Pelodiscus sinensis: one gene and its partners. The protein of the gene in region 2 interacts with the protein of the main gene of each other region in a pairwise test. Links are inferred from orthologs where the notes say so. Each region holds a gene or a part of one and is shown on either strand. Other genes may lie near its edges. The genes, in order: TRIM63, CKM and ASB9.

Region 1 (7,216 bases), on a different chromosome or scaffold from region 2:
CAAAGCTGTGGCCCTGTATTCCAAAGCCGTGGCCCTGTGTGCTGAAGCCGTGACCCTGTATTCCAAAGCTGTGACCCTGTATTCCAAAGCCGTGGCCCTGCGTGCTGAAGCCGTGGCCCTGTATTCCAAAGCCGTGGCCCTGCATGCTGAAGCCGTGGCCCGCAGCCACAGGGATTTATTCTTGCAGCTCCGTGCAGGGCCCTGCAGCAGGAGCTAACGACTGGCTGGGTTCCCGGCAGTGCCGGCCAGCACACGGCTCGCCATGACAGCCAGCAGGGCCACTGCACCAGCGAGAGGCGTCCCGGTGCTGACTGTGCCCTGGCGTGGCTGGGCTGCTAGCCCTGCGGCTCCAGGCCAGTGTTTCTCCAGCAGGCTCCCTGGGGGGCCGTGAGCAGGTTCCAGGGGGGCTTCCACAGCTGGCCACCGTCCCGCGGAGCAGACACGCGCGTCGGGTCCCATTCCAGCAGCGCTGGGCCACGTGGGGAGTGCGCGAGGAGGCAGGTACCTGGGCAGTGAGCCAGCAGGAGCAGGCGGTTTTCTACCTGCCCGTGGCTATTCCTGGCCCACGAGCCGCCAGTCCCAATTCCAGCTGGTCTGTTTTGACCGTGGGGCCCCTGCCCCGGGGACGTTTGGATTCCTGGGGCTGGGGGCCCCCGGCAGCTGGCCTGGCTTGTTCTCCCGGCGGGGGGAGCAGACCGGATGGTTTTCACTCCCGAGCGGGAGTGAATCACCTGCCGCGCACGAGCCCTTCTGCTAAGGAGCTGGGGACAGGCCCAGCCGCCCGCCTGCCCTTGTCAGGGGTTCCTGGGAGTCCCTGAGCGGCACGGGCAGAGCTGCCGCTATTTACCCAGAGGGCGCGGACGGCGGCGCTACCCAGGCACCTTGCGGATGCCGGGACGAGAGAGCGGCTGACACCCTGTACGCACACCCCCGGGTGTCGAAAATAGGACCCTAGGCCTGCCGAGGGGAGTGACGGCGCGTCGGGGTCCCCCCTGAGCCTGCACCCCCGCAGCAGCAAGAACAGACTCTGCAGCCAGTAGAACAGGGGGGTTTCTTGCTTCTCCGGGGTACAGCCCAGCACAGACGGGATGTGGCTACAGGAGTCAGGGCCAGGCTGCCTCAGCCCCCTCGGGTTAGGGGGTCCATCGCCCCCCAACCCTCTGCACCCAGCTTAGTCTGTTCCCTTCCCAGGAACTGCCTCCCTCCCAGCCCTGCCCCCCAGCCCGGTGACTGTCTCCGCCTCCCTCCCGTTGTCTCTCCCCCTGGGAAGAGCCCTGTTACCTGCCCAGGCTGGGACTAGGTGTCTGGGCCAATCCACGTGTGGGTGAGTCCGTGGGAATCGCACAGCGCAAGGGGACCCCGGGTTGCAGAGCAGACACCCCCCCACTACGTCACAAGGTTGCGTCTGTTCTGTACACCGAGAGAACCTGACTGAGGACTGCGTGAGCATGCTCGTAGGGGTGGCCGTTGATCCGGGGGTACCGCACTGGGGAGCCGGGAGAGCTCGGAGGAGCTGTACGGCTGCCGTTAATAGGGGTTCCCATCAGGTTCCTTCGAATGGTTCCCATGCGCGTGCGGGATGGACTCTGTTAGGTGTGTCAATGTGGAGGTGATGTGTGAGCGTCTCCTGCTCCGAGGAGTCCCGGGGCACCGGAAAGGTTCTGGGCCCCAAGCGTGGGATGGACCCGTCGGTCTGGCAGGGCTACCTGCGCCTGCCCGGAGGGGAGCGATCCGTTACTTTGCGGAGGGCCCGTGCTAACGAGGCCCGGTCCCCCAGCTGATGAGAAGGCGGGGACGCCGAAGCAGCCCCTCCCGGTCCGACGGGGAGAGTTCGCGAGCGACTCCCACGCGGCGCTTTCGCGCTGGGGTCTGGCTGGGGGGTCGTTTTGCTGATGTCTGGCTTCTTCCAACGCTGTTACTGAGCATCCAGGGAGCCCGAAGCCTCCTGCAGTTTGCATGTGACCCAGCCTGGTGCCTGGCTTGTGCCCGTTCCGGCTGCTGCGTGGAGAATGGCGGGTGTGGCCGGCATGCCAGGTGGGGAAGGCAGCCTGGCCCCGCCCACACTCCGCAGGCCTACCTGCTGCGGGGGCCACATGCTGCCTGAGGGGGGAGGCAATTTGGCTCCCGTGGGGGCGGGGCCTGGGCAGAAGGGGCGGGGCTAGGGGCAGGCTGGGGACTTTCCTCGGCCCGCCCTACGCTCACCCACTGCCCATGCCGAGGGGCATTGCTGGCCCGCGGGGCGGACGGCCTGCTCGTGGCTGTGCAGGCGGCCGAGCCCCCGATGGCCTGGCTGCTTGGCTGGGCCTGGGACGGGGTCACCGCCATAGCGGGGCACATAACAAAATCCATGTGTCGGGGGTGGGGCCGAGTGGTTTGGAGGGCGGCAGGGCTCTGGCTGGGGCCGGGGTGAAGGGTGTGGGGGTCAGGCTGCCCTAGGGCGGCAGCTGCAGGGAGAGAGTGGACTCCCCCAGGCCTCTTTCCCTGCAGCAGCCCCTGGGCGTGGGGGAGAGGCCCTCCCTGAGCACGCGCCTGGCCCGGCAGCTCCTGTGCTGCACAACGGGGATGAGCCCTGGGCGGGGACGTGTCGCATTGACCGCAGGGGGAAGGGCCGGCCAGGTTCACGGGCACGAGGAGGGTTAAACCCTGGGGGGTGGTGGAGGGTCCCTCACTGGACACGCGCCTGCCCGGGATGCTCAGACGGTGCCTGGCCCTGCCGAGAGGCTCGAGGTCCCTTCCCATCCTACGACTCTGGGGTTCGATGATTTTAACACAATGGAGGATCCCCGAGTCCCAGGCCTGGGAGGTGCCCTCGGGCGGCTCCCCACCCCTGGCACTGGGGGTGTCTGGTGCTACCTGCAGGACCCATGGCCGGGCTGGGGGCTGTGACGGTCTGAGGAGCAGCCAGCAGAGTCTGGGGGAGTTGTGGGGCTTGGGTGGAAATCTGTGATGCCCAGCAGGGACCTCGGGCCGAGGCTGAACAGGGCGGGTGCTGGAGCAACCAATCCCAGCTGCATGGACAATACGGTGGGGGCTAATTTAGCTCCAACCACTCGAGAGATCTTGGAGTCCCAGTGGGTCGTTCTCTGAAAACATCCCCGCAGTGCAGCAGCCGTCACAAAGGCAAACGGGACGTTAGGAGTCATTAGCAAAGGGACAGAGCGTAAGACAGAGAATATCTCGTTGCCTCTATAAAACCATGGTGCACCCACAGCTTGAATACCGTGTACAGACGCGGTCGCCTCATCTCAAAAAAGATCTCTTGGCATTGGAAAGGGGTCAGGAAAGGGCAGCAAAAGTGATCAGGGGTTTGGAACGGGTCCCATCTGAAGAGAGATTAAAAAGTCGGGGACTTTTCTGCTTACAAAAGAGGAGACTAAGGGGGGATAGGACAGAGGTCTATAAAATCATGACGGGTGTGGAAAAAGTGAATAAGGAAAAGTTATTGACTTTTTCCCACAATATAAGAACTAGGGGTCACCACATGAAATTAGCAGGCAGCAGGTTTAAAACAAACAAAAGGAAGGTTTTCGTCACTCAGTGCACAGTCAACCCGTGGAACTCCTCGCCAGAGGATGTGGTGAAGACTAGGACTTTAACAGGGTTCAGAAAAGAGCTAGCTAGATTCCTGGAAGTTAGGTCCATCAATGGCTGTTCGCCAGGCTGGGCAGGGATGGTGTCGCCAGCCTCTGTTTGTCTGGACATGGGTGACGGGAGGGATCACATGAGGATTCCCTGTTGTGTTCCCTCCCTCTGGGGGATCTGGCACTGGCCGCTGTGGGCAGACAGGCCACTGGGCTGGATGGGCCTTTGCTCTGACCCCGCCTGGCCGCTCTGATGTTCTTAAGGGGGTCACTTAACCCTTTGCGATAGGGACGCGGAGGCCGGGTGGGGGTCACAAGGGGGATGACTCTGTTTACAGCTGCGTCTCCAGTGTCTTTGTTTGGAAAGACACTGCAAAATCCCAGGAACTGTGGCTGGGCCAGCCCCGGACAGGCCGTCCCCTGCCCTGTTTACAGCCCGCTCCCCCCAGGGGCACCGATTGCTCATTCTCCCATGTGACAGGCAGGCCGCTGGAAACTCGAGCCCCTCTCCAGCACATGTGACTCTGCCCTAAATTATAAATAGGCAGGGAGAGGGGCAAAGGCAGGAGCCCAGGCTGAGCCGCAGGGAAGGAGCCAGAAGCTTGAGCTCAGAACTTGGTGCAGCTGAAGAAGGCAGGCGGAGCCGGGAGAGTTCCCTGAGGAGCTGTCGACACCGGCGTTGGGATATACCTGGGGAGGCCGCCCAGCGCCATGGATTACCAGCCCAGCATCATCCGAGACCCCAGCCCCATGGAGAACCTGGAGAAGCAGCTGATCTGCCCCATCTGCCTGGAGATGTTCAACAAGCCCGTGGTCATCCTGCCCTGCCAGCACAACCTGTGTCGGAAGTGCGCCAGCGACGTCTTCCAGGTGAGTGCCTGGCCCGTGGCTGGGCCACTTCCTGTGCCTGGCTGCAGGCGGGGGGGAGGCTGCCGTGAGCTCCCGGGGACCGAACCGGAGGCTGCTCGCGGGGTGGCTGAGGGCTGGAAGGGCCAGGCTTCCCTGGGCGCTCCCCTGTCAGGAGCCGGGCAGGGCGGGGTAGACTCCGGGCTTGTGTAACCCAGAGGCCACTGACAAGGAAAGTTCGCTCCAGGCCGCAGCTGGGAGCTGGTGGGTTTTCAGATCATGCCATAGAGTGTTGTGGCTTTAGCCCCGAAGGTCGCAGGTTCAATCCCGCCTGTCGGCTTTCCAAGATTCTGGCTCCAAGTGCTCTAGCTTGTGCCCTTCCAGGCTGTGCTTGTCTGTCAGAGCGGAGGGGGCAGCGTCTCGCTCTGCGTTTATCTAGGACGCTGGTGAAAAAATCCCCGTGACTTCAACGGCCTGGGAATGAGCCGGCTTGGCACCTGGTTCTAGAAAGGACCCATCCCCCTGGTCTCCTCTCTTGGCTGAGCCGGGCTAGGAGCCAGCTGATAAACCCGATGGCTGGGCCCCCTCTCGCTGAGCTGTGCTGCTCACGTCCAGCGTTCCCAGCAATAGAGGAAGGAGGAGAAGACCAGGCAGGAAGGGAGCGATGGGACCCGCTGCAGGGCCGGCTGCAGGCTGTGCCGGCGGGGGTGTAATTGACCGTGGGTTCCTGGCACTTCCCCCATGTGCAGACCCCCTTGACTCCTGGCAATGGGCAGAATGTCGAGGTCCCTGCAGCTCAGATTCCTCCCTGGGAATTTTGCCAAAAAGTCGGCTTCTCCATCCCCCCGCCCCGTGTGCTTGGCCACTTCTCATAGGATCACGGAGCCCTGGGGCGGGCGGAGCCCTCAGGAGGCACCGAGTCCAGCCCCCTGCCCAAAGCAGGACCCATCCCAATGAAATCTCCCCATCGCCAAGAATGGAGACGCCAGCCCCTCCCTAGGGAACCCAGCCCAGCGTCCCCCACCCGCCTGGGGAAGTCGCTTTTCCTAATCTCCCCCCTAGACCCCCCCGGCAGTGCAGGGTCAATGCTGCAGGCGCCCGCTGGGCAAGAGGGAAATTCTAACTGGGCGACGTTTCTTGGCTGCCCCAGAAGTGGTGGAGCGGTGGGGCCGTGGGCCCTGGGCCAGGCCCTGGAGGTCTGGTCCCTTCCGAGCCCGTTGTACACTCCCGGAGCCCGCGCGCTCGGAGGCGTTTCTAACCCGTGAACGACGGACGCCTCTCAGCACCCCCATGCCCTGTGCCCAGCTCAGGAGCAGGAGGGGGTGGCTGCGGCAGGGGGCTGCGACTCAGGACTCCTGGCTCCATTCCCAGATCTGCCCCTTGGCCACATTGCCTCAGGGGTTTTGCTTTGCCTCGGGCGCCCAGCTGTGCCCGGGAGACATTTGCCTCCTTCCTGGGGTTTTGTGAGCCGTAATTCCTCGCTCACCGGGTGCAAAGCATTATGGGATCTGCGCCCCGCGGGCGATGGGCGGGGCTGGGATGCAGGCTCTGTCCCTGGGGGATGCCGAGGGGCGGGGTTCACACGAGTCCACGTGACTGTCTCGACTGCGCAGTGGTGAGCGTTAGGCGTGGGCGGCGGGTACTGTAGGCAAGGGAAGGCGTCGCCGTCTGCCGCCACCCCACAGCTGCTGGGGAAAGGTGGGGCCATGGCGCAGCAGCCCCAGCCCTCCAGGTGGCCAGGAAGGATGGAGCTGGGGGTGGGCGGGGCTCGGCTCCACAGGGGTGTGGGGAAGGGGCGGGGCTGGGACTTGCCTTCCCCAGCTGGGCCTCCACCCGTCCATAGTTTTGGGCCTGTGGCAGGTGACTGGGGTGACCTTTGCCCTTGTGCTGCCGGCACTCACAGGCGGCGAATCCGTACTGGCAGAGCCGGGGAACCACCCTCTCTGGGGGGCGCTTCCGGTGCCCCTCCTGCCGCCACGAGGTGATCCTGGACCGGCACGGCGTCTACGGGCTGCAGCGGAACCTGCTGGTGGAGAACATCATCGACATCTACAAGCAGGAGTGCTCCAGGTGAGCCCCGCGCCCGCCCGCGCCAGCAGCCCCGCCAGTTCCCGGGTGCGGACAACAGGCAGGCAGGGGAATAGGAGGCAGGGAGTGTTCACACAGCAGCAGGTGCAGATCTGGATTCCGAGGTCTGAAAGGAGTTAACCGATGAATTTCCTGAATCGCTGGCATGGAGGCAGAGACAGGTGCTCTATGGGGCAAATATGGTACCAGGCTTTGAAAGGGGGGGGCCGGGGAGGTCTGCAGAATCAGCAAATACCATCTCCCAAGTGGAGTTCCGAAGGCGCGATAAGAGCAGCAGCTGGTCTACACGGTTCCACTCTCACGTGCCTAGAATCAGTAACATGTCCCATCCCCCTCCCCAGCCTGTTGCAAACGGGGAACTGACCCTGGGCTCATGGGTTAATGGTCACAGTTACCTGCAGTCTCCCGGTGCATGGAGAGCTGGGTTAAAAGCCAGCTCCGGGGTGCACCGGCTCCCAGGGAGTCCACTTTTGCCCCACCTGTAACCATGTGACCACTGACATATTTTATTGGTTGCACGGTTCCTTCGTTCCACACATTTTAACTTCCCGACTGATAAAAACAAACTGTGCCCAGAGCAGCACGGCCGCGGCTTTGAGAGTCATGTTGCAGGGAGGAGGGAGCGAACACAGTAGCTGTTCCCAAGGTTCCCTCTAATCTTTTCCATCCAAGTGCAGATTTTTTCTATCCACGTGTGGAAG
Region 2 (7,478 bases):
GTGTGAGTGCGGGGAGGGGCCAAGGGTGGGGGATGGGTGTGTGAGTGTGGGGCGGGGCCAAGGGTGGGGGATGGGCTGTGTGAGTGTGGGGAGGGGCCAAGGGTGGGGGATGGGCTGTGTGAGTGCGGGGAGGGGCCAAGGGCGGGGGAGGGGCTGTGTGAGTGCGGGGAGGGGCCAAGGGCGGGGGAGGGGCTGTGTGAGTGCGGGGAGGGGCTAAGGGCGGGGGAGGGGCTGTGTGAGTGCGGGGAGGGGCTGTGTGAGTGCGGGGAGGGGCTAAGGGCGGGGGAGGGGCTGTGTGAGCCATGTCGCAGAGGTGGGGGGGCAGCCGGGGGCTGGGCTGCACCAGGGCAGGGGTGGTCCCCTAAGCTGGCGGCATCCCCCTGGGGTCTCCCTGCCGCGGGCTGGCATGTCGCACCCCCCGCTGGGGGGTCTCCGCCCAGCCCTGCCCCGCCCCCCAGGGCGCTATAAATAGCCGCCCCGGCGCCCGGCTCCAGTTCCCATGAGCCAGCGGATCCGACAGAGGTGACACCGCGGGACGCTTCCTCTACCCAGCAGGAGGGCCCGGCCCCCCCCAGCCCAGCGCCCCCCTGAGCCTCCCCCCCGCCACCCAGCGCCCCCTGCTGGGCCCTGCCCCACCCCTCCCCCCGCAGCCCAGCGCCACCCTGAGCCCCCGCCACCCGCAACCCAATGCCCCCTGCTGGGCCCTGCCCCCCCCCCCCGCAGCCCAGCGCCACCCTGAGCCTCCCCCCCCCCGCCACCCGCAACCCAATGCCCCCTGCTGGGCCCTGCCCCCCCCCCCGCAGCCCAGCGCCCCCCTGAGCCTCCCCCCCCCCGCCACCCGCAACCCAATGCCCCCTGCTGGTCCCTGCCGCACCTCCTCCCACAACCCAGCGCCCCCTCTGCTGGGTCCTGCCCCCCCCCGCAGCCCAGCGCCCCCCTGAGCCTCCTCCCCCCCGCCACCCGCAACCCAATGCCCCCTGCTGGTCCCTGCCGCACCTCCTCCCACAACCCAGCGCCCCCTCTGCTGGGTCCTGCCCCCCCCCGCAGCCCAGCGCCCCCCTGAGTCTCCCCCCCCCTAGCCCCCCCCCCCGAGCTGCCCCGTCCCCCGCCCCCTGCTGGGCCCTGCCCCACCCCTGCTGCAGCCCAGCACCTCCTTCAGCCTCCCTGTCTCCCGCCCCCCCATATCTCAGCCCTGCCCCCCCAGCCGCCCCGTCCCCTGCCTCCCGCAACCCAGCGCCCCCTGCTGGGCCCTGCCCCGCCCCCCCCAGCCCAGCCCCCCCCCAGAGCCTTCCCGTCCCCCACCCCCCACAGCCCAGCGCCCATTGCTGGGCCCTGCCCAGTCGAGATGTGCTCAGGGGAGGAGGGGATGCTGCCACCCGCCGGGGAGTGGGGGCGACCCAGGTCCGGTCGACAGAAGGGGTCTGAGCGGGGGCCTTGCTGCCGCCCGGCGCGGGGACGCTCGGGGGGCTCCTCAGCCGCCCCTGCTGGACTGATCCCCGGCTGGGCCCTTCTGCTCTGGCCCGTTCACCCAGCGGCATCAGCAGAGCCCGAAGGACCCCCCCCCCCCCCGGCCTTTCTCCGCTCCAGCCCGCGGGCGATTGGCTCCGGGTCTCCCCCGCCCGGCTGAGGGCACCGCAGTGCCCAGCACGGGACAGGGCCCCCCTCCGTCCTGTGGGAACCGCCTACATCTGCCCGAGGCCGGGGCTGGTGTCTGGGCCCCCCCCCAAGGGCATCCTCTCCCCAGCCTCCGACAGGGCCCCGGGACCTGGCTGCAGCCGCATGAGTCCCAGGCTCTCAGCAGACTCCGGCAGCCCCCACGGCCTTGGATCCAGGCTGCCCCCTAAGGGCGCCTGGCGGGGTGGGCGGGAGCCGGATCTCCAGGGCTTTGCCAGGAACCCGCAGCACCAATTTCAGGGGAGGTGCCCCCTGACCCCAGCAATGGTGGGGGGAGGAGGTGGCAATTGCCTGCCCTTGGGCCGCCCAACCCCAGGGAGGGATCCACTCGAGCCTGGCGCCCGTTTCTCCGGGGGCGTCTCCGCGGTGGCCGTGCTCGGGCGCCGGCCCCTTCACTGGCCTCTGGAACAGCTGTCAGGGGCTCCCAGGTTCGGGACTACGGCCCCCGCTTTGGAGCAGCCTCTGGAAGGAACCCCAGGGGTCCCACGCCTCCTCCAGGGCCGGCCGTGCGGCCTCCCCACCTCCGAGCCTGAACCGCTTCCCTCCTGCCGCCCCCCGTGAGCGGTGTCTGGGGGGGCAGACTGGGAGAGGCGCGGCCCCCGGAGGGCGCCTGGCAGGCGGGTGAATTGGCCCTGGTGCCCAGCCTGGGATGGCCCCAGGTTTGTGCCGAGCCTCGGGGGGTTAAAGCGGCCCAGGCCCAGCCAAGCTGGAGGGACCCCAAATCCAGGCTCTGTGTGTCCGTCTGGCCATCCAGAGCCAGCTCTTCCCCCGCCCAGCCCCCTTTGGCTGGCGAGTGTGGGGGGCTCTGCACACTCCCTGCCGGGTGTGTCCATGAAGGGGTCACTGGGGCTGACCTTGGCTTGCTGGGTCCTAGGTCTCTTCAGCCCCCCTCTCTGGGAAGTGACACCCCTTCCCACCTGTGTTTCTTAGGGGGGTCCAGAAAGCAAACCTCACCCTCCCCACGGGGTAGCCATGCAACATAAAGGGGGAAACTGAGGCACGCATCAGCCACCTAAAATAATGCAAAACATTCTCACGTCGGCCCAGTATCCTGCAGCAGGGCGTTCCCCAGGTTGGTGGCCGCTTGGCTCTCTTGAGCGCCTTTGACTTTAACTGACGCCGCCCCAACGAGACAGGGGGCATCCCCACCCCCATGCAGTCCCGGGCTGCAGCACATGAACGTGGCTTGGAGGTCTAGGCTGGGCCCAGGCCCTCGCCGAGTGGGAGCGGCGGGAGGAAGGGACGTGCTGCCGGAACAAATCCCCCCCCACACCCACCCAAAGCCGCTCCCCCCTCCCCGGACCGGGCCCTGGGCACTAGCTGGGTTCCCCGTTGCTGTCCCGGCAGCCCCCCTCGGGGCAGCAGGGGGTGTCCAGCCATGGGCCATGCCTCAGGTCCGAGGGGAGGGGACAGGCGCGCCCCGGCCCTGCCCCCCCACTCGCCCAGCCTTGGGGCACGCTCCCATAAATCAGCGCAGGGACAGCTGCTGCATGCACGCCCGGCTCCTCTCCCCGTTAGGAAGGCGTCGGGGGCCGGGAAACCCGAGCCAGGCCGTTTTGGGCGCGGGGTGGCGTGCGGGCAGCTGCCAGGCGGTGCTGGGCCCGGGCCAGCTGCAGAGCAAGCGGAGGGTTGGCATTGCTGCCTATATAAAGAGCTAGGCTGCCTGGGCGGCCATGGGCGGGGACCATGTGCTGACAAGCCCAGCTCAGCTGCCCAGGCCCCGGCTCCAAGCTGGCTGCACGGCCGGGGGAGGGGGCAGGTTGGAGGTGCAGGAAGAAAGGATGGGGGGAGTCACGTGGGTCCCCAGGGTCTGGTCCCCGTGGCCTTGGAATGGATGGGAAGGTGGTGCAGCCTGGGGCCTGCCTCGCCAGGGTCATGGGGCCAGCCTGGGACCCAGGGAGCGTTCCATGGGGGGTCCCCCGCCGAGTCCCGACCCAGCCCAGCCAGGGAGAGCAGGGAAAACCTGTGGAACTCCCTGCCGGGGGATGTTGTGAAGGGCCCCAGTGTAACTGGGTTCAGAACAGAATGAGCCCAGGATGGGCAGGGATGTAACCCCTTGTTCTGGGTCGCCCTCAACCAGGACCTTGCACGCCAGCTCAGAGCGGGCCCGGGAATGGTTCTGGCCCTAGTGAAGATGGGCCCAGCTGGTCATGGCCCAGGGGAGCGGTGGGATGGACCCAGGAGGTGGATGCCTGGGGAGGGGTGGGATGGACCCAGCCAGCCATGACCCGGGGGTGGGGAGATGGACCCAGCTGGTTAAGGCCCATGGGGTGGGACGGACACAGCCGGTCGTGGCCTGGAGGGATGGGACAGACCCAGAAGGTTGTGGCCTGGGGGGGTGGGATGGACCCAGATGGTCGTGGGCAGGGGGGTGGGTCGGGCTCAGATGGTCGTGGCCCGGGGGGGTGGGACGGACCCAGCCGGTCGTGGCCTGGGGGGAGATGGTCGTGGGCAGGGGGGTGGATCGGGCTCAGATGGTCGTGGCCCAGGGGGGTGGGACGGACCCAGCCGGTCGTGGCCCGGGGGGGTGGGACGGACCCGGCCTGTCGTGATCCCCCCCAGGGACGGACCCCGGCGGGTCACGCAGCGGCAGGTGGAATTTCTCCCCGTGCTGTTTGTCTGTTTTGCTGGTCACCGGGATACAGCCGGGCCCAGATCCTGCGCCCGCCGGGCCCCCAGCCAGGCCAGCTGGAGGACAGCCCCAAATTTTGTGCTGGGCTGGTGGCAGCCGTGTCCAATCGGGGCCGGCCGGCGGCCCGGGCCAGCCAATGGGAGCCGTGCGCAGGGTATATATATGGGCAGCTCCCCTGCTGGGGTCCCGGGTCACTTGTCACGTCCGAGTAGAGGAGGCAGTGCCGTGCCGTCCCCGCTGTTCTGCTGATCCGGTAACCCCGGCACGGGGAGCCCGGGGGGGGGAACGGGGCAGGGGCTGCGCCTGACCTTGGGCTGGGGGCAGCGGGGAGCCCCGCGGGGCCAGGGCAGGGCGGAGTGGGGGAGGGCCCTGTGGGTGCAGCCTGCATGGGGCGCCCAAGGGCAATGCCCCATCAGCTTCCTGGCGGGTTGGGGGGGCATGGGGCCCCCATGAAGGTCGGGAGGCCGCAGAGCAGGAGGCTGGTGATTGGGGCGGGCCCCGGGATGATGCTGGGTCCTCGCTGGCCCGTTGCACCCTGGCGGCCTCTCTGGGTCCCTGGGGGAAGACGGGGGGTGCCCAGGGTGGGGCCCCTGCGGCCGGGGAGCCCCCGAAGCCTTGAGCAGAGCCCAGCGCCCCCCGAGAGGGCCCCCGTGGCTGCAGGCGGCTGGCTCCTCGCAAACGCAGCCCCGGGAATGTGGGCTCAGCTGGCAGCTGCCGCTGCTCCCGCCAGGTGCCTGCCCCCCGGGACAAGGGCAGGGGCTTAAAATAGCCCTCCTAGAGCAGCTGAAAACCGGCCCAACTTTCCACCCGCAGCAACTAGATACCTCCCCCCACCCCCCGGCACCTGCCCTGCCCCGCTGCCCCATGGGCACCCCCCACCAGCAGCTGCCCCCCAGTCTGGCCCAGCAGAGTCATCCCCTCGCACGGGGTTCTGCCCAAACCTTTCACTGCCCCCCACTCACCTGGGGAGAGCGCCCCCTGCTGGCCCAAGGGCCTGGTGGGGTCCGACCTCCCGGTTCCTGCCCTGAGCTCCCCGCAGGGAGTCCCCCACCCCGCAGCCAGCAGGGAACCTGGCATAGAGCAGCGCCCCTCAGCCCACGGCTCCTGGCAGAGGCTGGGCCCACCTGCCCACCAGGGGTCTCTGAAACAACCATGCCCCCTGCTCCTCACACGCCGGGGAAACTGAGGCACGCCCGGTGTTCTGACCAACGGTTACGAACAACCCCCCCTTGTCACATGGGCTCACCCCGCCTCCCCTGGAGACTTTAGGCGGTCCCGTGGCTGGCGCAGCCCACGTGGGATGCCTGGGACGCCCCTCTCGGTTTGGGGGCTGCGCTGTCGTGGGGCTCGGGCGGGTGCGAGGAGCCCCCCGGGCGTGGCGGAGCAGGGGAGGGGGCGGCCTGGTCCCAGCTGGCGCCTGCCCCCCGGCCTCAGCGAGCCCCGTGCCCCGCAGGACTCGCCCCTGCCCGCAGCCATGCCGTTCGGGAACACCCACAACAAGTACAAGCTGAACTTCTCGGCGGAGGAGGAGTTCCCCGACCTGAGCAAGCACAACAACCACATGGCCAAGGCCCTGACCCTGGACATCTACAAGAAGCTGCGTGACAAGGAGACGCCCAGCGGCTTCACCCTGGACGACGTCATCCAGACCGGGGTGGACAACCCAGGTGGGCGCTGGACGGACCCCCCCCCCCGCTCCCCCACCCAGCGTCCCCCCCCCCCCGGGAACCCCACCCCCTTGGGTCTCGTGCTGCTTTGGAACTCGGCTTGGGGCCCCCTCCTGCCACCTGAGCCCTGGGGGCCTCCCCAACCTGCCCACCGTGGCCCAGCCAGAATGGGGGGCCCTGGGCCAGGAGCTGCCTGTCACTGCGGGGCTGGGGCCTTGCGGACACCTGCCCTTTTGTCCTTGGCCCCCAGGGTAGGGGCGCTATGGGGAGCCCCCCCCCGGCGCATCCAGCATCCTGGGAACCCCTCCCCCCAGTCACTGATAGCTGGGCTCCAGCCTGTGGCCAAGGGAGAATTGCCCCCCCACCCCGTGTCCCTGGGACCCCCCACAACCGCTGGCAAAGGGGCAAGAGGCCTGGCAGGGCGAGGGGGCCTGGGGAAGCCGGGCTGAACCCTTCCTGCCACCCCCCACTGGTGGGGAACGGGCCCCACGGGAGCCTGGCTGCCCCCTCCCAAGGAGCAGCAAGGGGGGGCCCCGGGGCCCCTCGCCAGCTGCCCAGGCTGACACCCGGCTGCCCGCAGGACACCCCTTCATCATGACGGTGGGCTGCGTGGCCGGGGACGAGGAGACCTACGAGGTCTTCAAGGACCTGCTGGACCCCGTCATCCAGGACCGGCACGGCGGCTACAAGCCCACCGACTCCCACAAGACCGACCTCAACCACGAGAACCTGAAGGTGCGGGCGGGGGGGGCGGGGGGCAGGGAGGAGAGGAGTGGGAGGGGGGACTGGAGCAGGGGAGAGGGGCTGAGGGGCTTGGGGGGCTGTGGTGGGAGGGGAGCTGGAGGGGACTGGGGGGCTGTGGTGGGAGGGGGGCTGGAGGGGATTGGGGGGCTGTGGTGGGAGGGGAGCTGGAGGGGACTGGGGGGCTGTGGTGGGAGGGGAGCTGGAGGGGATTGGGGGGCTGTGGTGGGAGGGGAGCTGGAGGGGACTGGGGGGCTGTGGTGGGAGGAGGGCCTGCAGTGGGGACTGGGGGGCTGTGGTGGGAGGGGAGCTGGAGGGGACTGGGGGGCTGTGGTGGGAGGGGGGCCTGCAGTGGGGACTGGGGGGTTGTGGTGGGAGGGGGGCTGGAGGGGACTGGGGGGCTGTGGTGGGAGGGGAGCTGGAGGGGATTGGGGGGCTGTGGTGGGAGGGGAGCTGGAGGGGATTGGGGGGCTGTGGTAGGAGGGGGGCTGGAGGGGATTGGGGGGCTGTGATGGGAGCTGGAGGGGACTGGGGGGCTGTGGTGGGAGGGGGGCCTGCAGTGGGGACTGGGGGGCTGTGGTGGGAGGGGAGCTGGAGGGGTTTGGGGGGCTGTGGCGGGAGGGGGGCTGGAGAGGATTGGGGGGCTGTGGTGGGAGGGGGGCTGGAGAGGATTGGGGGGCTGTGGTGGGAGGGGAGTTGGAGGGGACTGGGGGGCTGTGGCAGGAGGGGGGCTGGAGGGGACTGGGGGGCTGTGGTGGGAGGGG
Region 3 (7,788 bases), on a different chromosome or scaffold from region 2:
AGCAATTCTAATGGCACCTTGATTGTTATCCCAAGTGAAGAGTTCAGAGCAGGTTTAGGCCAGAATGAAATACCTTTACTGGTACCTGCTACAGCATGTTGACAGACAGGTCTGGACTAACTTCTGAAGGTGGAATGAAGCCTTTATAAGAAGGGTTATCATCACAGATGGACAAACTAGTAGGCCAGTGATTTCATAGAGCCCAACATTTCTTTTATCTTCTATGGTGTCTCAGAAGAAGGCACAATGAAACCAGCACTGTAGAGGAAAGAAAGAAAGACTGGGAAGCAGACAATGATCACTAATTCAAAGGGGCAGAAAAACTCACCCCTCTCTTTGAAAAATAAAATAAAATTTCAAAAAAGATTACTCAGATCTGTAAAATGTAGAGGAGTCAAAGGGCCAAGTGGGAGGCATGGCCTGCCTTAAATGCATCCTTACTGGTAGTAGTCAGTGCATGGAGTACAGACCTTCATGAAGTAAGTCTTTTTGTGTAACCTATTTTGTGGTATTTCTTTAGAAAATTAGATTTTAAAAAAATGTTAGTTTTGTAGCATTTCACTTCTTTTCGCAAGCAAGGTGGCAAAGTTCCATCGGCTGCACTGAAACTACAGCAACATACTGTGTCCCTAAAGATCTATCCCCAGAGGGATAGAGCAACAGTGAGCCCACGCCATATTATATTGTTTGGTGAAGGCTATTGTGCTATTCATAACTACCAGTATATGGATTTTGCTTTAAAAGCAATTTGAGTAGAATATTGTTTATTAAATCACATTCATCCATGAACAATGTGGGGTAGTTTTACAGACTGAAAAATGGGATCATCTAAAGAATAAGGAAACAATCAAGTTGTTACAGTAATGTGGATAGCTGCCTCTGCTTCTTTGCGGTACATGTTCAGGTGTACTGATAGGGAAAATGTAGGACTAGGTTATGTTCTACTTGCCCTGTTTTCTACTCAGTACTGTAGATGTAGTAGCAGCTGTGCAGTAAATTATTAATATTTTGTGGATTTGCAACATAGACCCTAATTATTGAGATAAACACAGCCGATAGCCAATGCTAACCAACCACTGAGTTTTTTTAATTCCAGATGTTGGCTTCAATCAATATTTAAACTCCATTCTGCACATGAATAGTAACTGCAAGGGAGGTGAGCCTGCTTACGCCAGTAGCGAATTCGGAGAAGCAAACATATTTTTAAAAATTCCCTCACCAGAACTGCCTAGTGTGCTTGTAACATTTTGAAATCTACCCAAGAACTTTAACCATAGGCACTGACCAAAATAAAATAGTAGGTGCTAAGCACTTACTGACTACTGGCCCCACCCCCAGCCCCTGCTCCTGCCCTGGCCCCCAGCACCTCCTATCCACGGTGTGCCCTGCTGGTCAGCAGAAGGCAGGTCTGGGGCTTGAACACTCTCAGGCAAATCAGAAAGTTGGTGCCTCTGCCTTTAGTCCATAGATATTATAAATAGGAACTGAAATCTTCTGTAGTAGTCTAAAGCTGAGATATTCAAAGGGACCTAAAAGTTAGGAGTCAAACTCCCACTGACTTTCAGGGTGAGTTGGGTGTCTAATTTCTTAAGTTCATTGAAAAAAATCCTGTCCACATATTATTTTGAATCCTTAAATTAGTGGCACCAATCTTTGCCTCACAATAGGCTTTTTTATGTTACCATAGTGCCTGTGAGCCTAGTCATGTACCTGGTTCTCATTGTGCAGGCTCTGTACAAACACAGCCTTTCCTCCTTCCTTCCAAATGCTGGAAACCTGTCGGCCATTTAGTAAGAATCCACTTCAAATCCAGACTCATTCTGGATTGTTATCACTGTTCTGCCCTCCTCCCTCACAAAAAAAAACCCAAAACCCAAATCAACCTAGAGAGCAAGACACCAAGGTCACTTCTGCGCTGCAGCTGGCCTTGTAGTTCTCATATCCTAACTGCACCAGTCTTTTTTCTTTATGTAACAAAGGAAAAATCTCCAGAGTTCTCATGAAGAAAAGAAGAATATTGCAATGTTACAGCATGTTGTCTTCATTTTTCCTCCCCCAGCACACTGGCCATAAACTGAAAGCTTAGACTCCCCAAGGACATGGACTGAAGTGAAACACCACTAACCAAGCTGTATGTGAAAAGAGATTGTCTTGTGACACTGCATCAGATTGTTCACATGCTTGGGAGCAAACTGAGATTCTTACTCAAAGGGGTGAGCAAAAAGGGGGCAAATTGGATGCAGAACTGCTCCTCGGTGACAGAAAGGGGTTCGCACCCTGGCCTGCTGGGACTAAGCCACAAATGTGGCAATGTCACCAGCAAAGATTTTTGTAGCGTATCTTTCGAAACAAAAGAGGAACTTGTTCCGCTGAGCAAGCAGTGAGCATTCAGCTGGCAATAATGCAAACCAAACATGCCCACAGTGCAATTTCTTTTGCAGTTATGTCCAGGTCAGATTGTAATGCTTATTTTTCTTTACACAGATTCCTAATATCTGTGAAGTGTTTAAAAATAAATTTTGGTTTTACTGCCATGTACCCCGATGTCTACCTAAGAACTGCATGTAAACAAGCCTTCAGGGAGAATATGCCTCCAGAGCTCTGAATAGATATCATCCATAGCCCTTCCATGACCACCAGAAGGCTCTCGGGAAGACCGTTTGGATAGATACAGTTGTATTACTTACCGCTCATCAGTGCATTTGACGGAGAAGTTGCAAGTGACTGTCCTTCCACTCCCTGGGATATACTGGCATTTTCCTTTGCTCCAGCACCATCCATTGCACACTGGGCAGTCAAATTTCTGTTATTTCACTTCACAGTTGCTCCTGAGAGTTCAAATTCCATCCTCCCTGATGAAAATCTTAGTTATGCAAGTAATCTATTAAGCAAACACCGTGTGTGTGAGACAAGCCGACTTCTCAGCAGACTGGAACTTGGTGCCGGCAGCAGTTTCAAATAACTTGAGTACCTGTGTGCACTGCCGATTTAATGAAACGCCTCCTCATTCACTTGGTGTACAGAGATCAGACAGGCTACACTGTACAAAGTGAGGGATGTGGCTGATGTCATATCCTTTCAAAAGCCACGTCCAATCAGCAAGTCTGCCTTCTGTTTTTATCAGGAAGGAACTTCTCAGTTTTTGCCAACAAACCAAGAGAGAGCCAGCTCAACTAGTTGAGCAAATTCTGCTTTTAGGGATTTGTAAAAGTATCTCAGGAAGATAACTGTGCTCAATGCTTTGCTTTCAAGAGAAGGATCAAATTAGGTTGTTTTGAGACAACACCTTTTTCCTGTATCTAGTGTGCCTCCAGTTTTCAAACACTGACATTATCTGAAAAGCTCATGACTGCATGCAAAGAATGGAATACTGAATTCCTTTTACACAGCAGCAGTCACTACATGCCATGATAATATTGAAACCACATGTTCCCAAAGCTGTGCTTTCCCATGGAAGTGCTTCATTGTCTCTAAGGCATGAAAAGCATAGTATTATGTGGCCTTATTTCCCTACATCCATTTCAATCAACTTCACTGAGTCATCATAGTTGCACCACCACTATATATCAGAGGTGGGGAACCTTTTTGGGGGGGGTCAGGGGCTGCTGAACCACAGAAATATCAGTCCGGGGCCACACGCAAGTGAGAGGCAAAGTGAGAAGCCCCTGACTGAGAAGGAAAAAGACACTCCTCACATCCCTCTCACACACCAGAGCCAAAAGGGGACCAGGCTAGTAGATTTTGTGTGCTCCAGCCCTGTGGGTGGGTGGCAGAGGGCTGGATCTGCTTTTTCACTAGAAACAAAAATAATTAACCTACAGACAAGTAAACAGGGTGAGATTTTCCAAAAGGCTTCCAGCCTAGGATTCTGTGTAGCATGGCAGTGAAGACAAGCCCTATCATCCACCTGGCACCTGCTCTTCACCACCAAATCAGAATATAAACAAAGATGAATTCCCACAAACACAAGCCTTTATCATCTCCTTCCATCCCCCAAAGCCTGAGTAAAGAATTTGCTCTTACAACATGCCCTAAGGTCAGGGCTATTTTGGACTGTAGGTGAGGGGTTAAGAAGCAAGACGGTTCCAAAGCTGAGGAAGGTGGTGTAACATGGCCACTACTCTAGCCCATGCACTGGAAAAACAACTGCCCCTGCATGAAGTACTAATCACTAGCCCCAGCTTTCCCCTGGCTGTCCACAGCATGGGGGAGTGAGGCTAGGGCAGCGCACTGCTCCTGCATTCTGCTGTCCAGCTGGAGCACACTTACTTGGGGGACCATGGGGGAGTGCTTTCGCACCGTTCGCACCTCCCCCCCTCCCACATATGGGCCTGACTAGAATCACACAGCTGCCTTTCCCATGAAGCCTGCTTCTCTCCCTCGTTCTGGTGCCTCATACATAGGGCAGCACTGATATCTCTGCAGTGCACAGGGAGTGATGCTATTTCCCAGCACAACCATTCTGTCAGGCAGCGCTTTGGGGGAACCGAAGACCTTTGGCTCAAGCCATTGGTTAATTTTGAATAATCTGTGGCCTACCCAAAGACATCATTCTACCAAAGACAGACGATGCCATTTTCAAACAAGCAAAGAATCCTCACTCCTCCACGTTGCTAAAGGGCAATGTCTAACAATTAACTAATTATTAATCATATTTGTTGCTAGTACACAAATGTACACCGACCATTTGTCCCAAATTTTCCGGGATAGTCCCGAATTGAAATATTCTGTCTCAGTACCCCATCAAGTAGTGAAATGTCCCGGAAATCTCTGCCGGATATTTCATTACTTGATGGGGACACCAGCTTGCAGGGAAGAAACAACTGAGAAATGGCTCTGTGCACTGCCATTGCTCCTTGCACGGCACGGCACGGCACAGCACAACAGCGGCCTCCTCCCCACCAGCAGAGCACATAGGTGGCTCCATTGGAGCTTTGCCGGTGGGTATAATTATGTAAATAACGGTAAGTTTCCATTAGCAACCGACGATCCACGGAAAGGTTTACATTAAGCCAGGTGGTTCATAGGCCAAAAAGTTTGAGAACCCCTGAAATAGAGGCATCCCCAGCCTCTTCCACCGAGTTAATGCAATGCAAGTTGGGTTAATGCAATTGCAGCATAGTTGCATGGAAGGGGTCCTATGAGGTCCAAACCCCTCCCTATTGGTAGAGGATGGTGGGTGGAGTTCTTAGAGGGGTCACACAACACCCTTTACTGCAGGTCATGTGTCCATCTTGACCCAGGAGTACTACCTCCAGGTGTGGGACTTATGGCAGGCAGGCGTGGCTAATGGAGAATAGGGGGTATTGCTATTGGAAGTCGAGGCATGGCTAATAGGGATCAGAGGGCATTGCTAATGTGAGTCAGGGGGCACAGCTAATGTGTCCTTAATTTTGATTGAGAAAATATGGTCACCATTCCTTAATGCCATCAAAGGATGGGACTCCATATTGCTAGACACTGTACAAACACAGATACAAGCACAAATTATGTTCTTTTTATGTGGTTTGTACTGAATATCTTAACATATACCAAGAAGCAGGAATGCAGTTTTGCAGCCCTTACTCACTTCAGTAGTTCAAAAATATCACAGAGCCCTAAAAGTTTTCTTGTTTCTTGCTGCTGCTGGGTCCCTGGATCCCCTAACACAGATTCTAATCATATCCTGTGAGTGTTTTCTATCCCACATCCTCAGCCTGCATGGTGTCTCAGCATTATCTCTTTTCAGTACCCGATGTTTGCAAACTGCATGCATTCCCCTCTAAAAGATGGCTTTGTTTGCATAAGTCTCACTTCACAGCAATTTTCTCTATCAAGTACATTAGCAAAGCTGATACAGAAAATTATGTACAAACATAAGAGGTTTAGTTTTACAGCATTAAATACTGTAGCCTGAGTTTGGAAGTTGAGGGACCGTGGATAGAAAAATTAAACAAACAATTTAGATTAATTAAGATTATACAACTAAAGGCAAACAAAAACGTTTCTTTGCTGGTACACTGCCTGTTTCCTTTTTCTTCACTCTTGACATCCTCTCACTCCAACAGCTATGAGTGAGCAGCAAATTGGAGAGTGGATTACCAAAGGTCACCACAGTAAAGTGTGTGCCTATCATCTGGGCAGTATTAAAGCAGTATTGGGGACTAGGGGCAATCCGTGGTAGTTATATTTGATGAATAATACAGAGCTGAGACCAGCTGAAGGAAAAGAAACCACAACTGCAGAACTAACTGGGGGTTTTTTTCCCCTCCAAGAGGTAACATAAGACTAATATAAATCAAGGGTTAGGCAATACAGTAGCATTCACACAAAGGATATATCTATAATGTAACTGGGTAGACATACCCACACTGTCTCTATCTGCCATGTGACACTCTACCCCCATATTTTTAAGGAAATATGGTTTTGAACATGAATATAAACATGAACATGACTATGAATATACATATGAGAATATTCAAGTAATCCCCTGAATGTGTATATTTTATTTGTGTGCCTGTATCTTTCTCGATTATGAAGTTAGAAAAATGGACTGTACATTTGTTTATTAAACGAGGTCTTCTAGGCTGTGGCTACACTGAACCCCTCTGTTGGCAGAGGGATGCAAATAAAACACTTTGAAAGTGCAAATTAAGTGGGGATTTAAATATCCCATGCTTCATTTGCATAATTCTGTCTTGGCGCTGTTTCAATCAAGCACCATTTCAAAACTGAAACCATGGTTTAACCACAGTTCTGCCAACAGCGGGGTGATTTTTCGACAGATCCTGTACTCCTAGCTTTTTGGTGCTTAAGGAACTTAATGGCCTTGTGCTCAAGGCAATGAATAGTTTTGTTTTTCCTAGAAGCCTGGATTGTGGTTGGTCCTACAAAGACATCTGACCATGTCACCTAGTGCTGGAATCCATCTTCAATTTTGTACTTTCCCAGTCAGGGGAGACATGAATAAAGAGTTCCTGCCCTGGGACAATTCTATTTGAGGGATGGGAAGCAAAGTATGATTGTCTTCAGCTGGCTTCACAGGCTGCTCCCCATCACAAGAAGAGACCTGAATGAGAATGGGAGGAGAAAGAAGCAGCTGGGTTTAGGTGAGAAAAAAGATCAGCTCTGACCTGAAACATTTTACATGAAATAAGGACTGGGGTGAGAAATTATGATTTGTAACAATTTCTCTTAGTATAGTAGATTTAACTGGCATGTTTTGTTGATTTTAGGTTAGCATGGGCGCATAGCATCATAGGTGATCAATCAGCCCTGCCCAGTCAGTCAATCAGCAGGTGTGATTAATCACTTGTGAAGTTGTGCTGCCCTGCAGCTTAGAGGAAACACTGGTTTGGGTCCTATTTGATGCTGTGCTCCTGGATGCTGTCAAATCCCTGTAACTGAGCCCTCTTCAGAGCTGAGCTGCTCTCAGTGTCTGTGTCACTCTGTTGGGGGAGGGCTGTTGCCCCATGTGACAGGGCGCTTGCCCTGCACTGGCCCTTTAAGGTCAAACCCCAGCCCGGAGCAAGGGTTGAGAGTAAGGCCCCAGCTGAGGCAGGCCTCATTAATTAGGGCCCAGCTGGGGCCTATAAAAGGAAGGATGCCTGGAGGGAGAAGGAAGTCAAACTGCTGCTCTGGGAGGAGAGCAGGGAGGGCCTAGTTGCTAGAGGAGCAGGAGGATCCCCGGAGTGAAAGCAGCGCTGGGGAAGCAAGGCGGGGCAAGGAGAGTTCGGGTCCAATACGCTCCACGGCTGCCAGGCCTGAAACACGGCCTGTGGAGTAACAACTTTTCACAGAAGGGGGCCC

Evidence for each region.
Region 1: the proteins of CKM (region 2) and TRIM63 interact in a two-hybrid assay, tested with the Homo sapiens proteins (2 studies listed by BioGRID). The link is inferred for Pelodiscus sinensis from reciprocal best matches to the Homo sapiens genes CKM and TRIM63.
Region 3: the proteins of CKM (region 2) and ASB9 interact in binary tests that used the Homo sapiens proteins (3 or more experiments, as listed by UniProt). The two-hybrid records come from large-scale screens. The link is inferred for Pelodiscus sinensis from reciprocal best matches to the Homo sapiens genes CKM and ASB9.

Annotation. Positions count from the first base shown.
Region 1 is NC_134735.1:1,664,468-1,671,683, reverse strand, and holds the start of TRIM63 (E3 ubiquitin-protein ligase TRIM63), read left to right. Parts: upstream 1-4,132; 5' UTR 4,133-4,292; coding exon 4,293-4,451; intron 4,452-6,330; coding exon 6,331-6,497; intron 6,498-7,216. UniProt on the Homo sapiens protein: E3 ubiquitin ligase. Mediates the ubiquitination and subsequent proteasomal degradation of CKM, GMEB1 and HIBADH.
Region 2 is NW_027465849.1:7,057,586-7,065,063, reverse strand, and holds the start of CKM (creatine kinase M-type), read left to right. Parts: upstream 1-4,399; 5' UTR 4,400-4,442; coding exon 4,443-4,559; intron 4,560-5,759; coding exon 5,760-5,973; intron 5,974-6,553; coding exon 6,554-6,708; intron 6,709-7,478. UniProt on the Homo sapiens protein: Reversibly catalyzes the transfer of phosphate between ATP and various phosphogens (e.g. creatine phosphate).
Region 3 is NC_134711.1:211,962,178-211,969,965, reverse strand, and holds the start of ASB9 (ankyrin repeat and SOCS box protein 9), read right to left. Parts: upstream 3,087-7,788; 5' UTR 2,782-3,086; coding exon 2,688-2,781; intron 1-2,687. UniProt on the Homo sapiens protein: Substrate-recognition component of a cullin-5-RING E3 ubiquitin-protein ligase complex (ECS complex, also named CRL5 complex), which mediates the ubiquitination and subsequent proteasomal degradation of target proteins.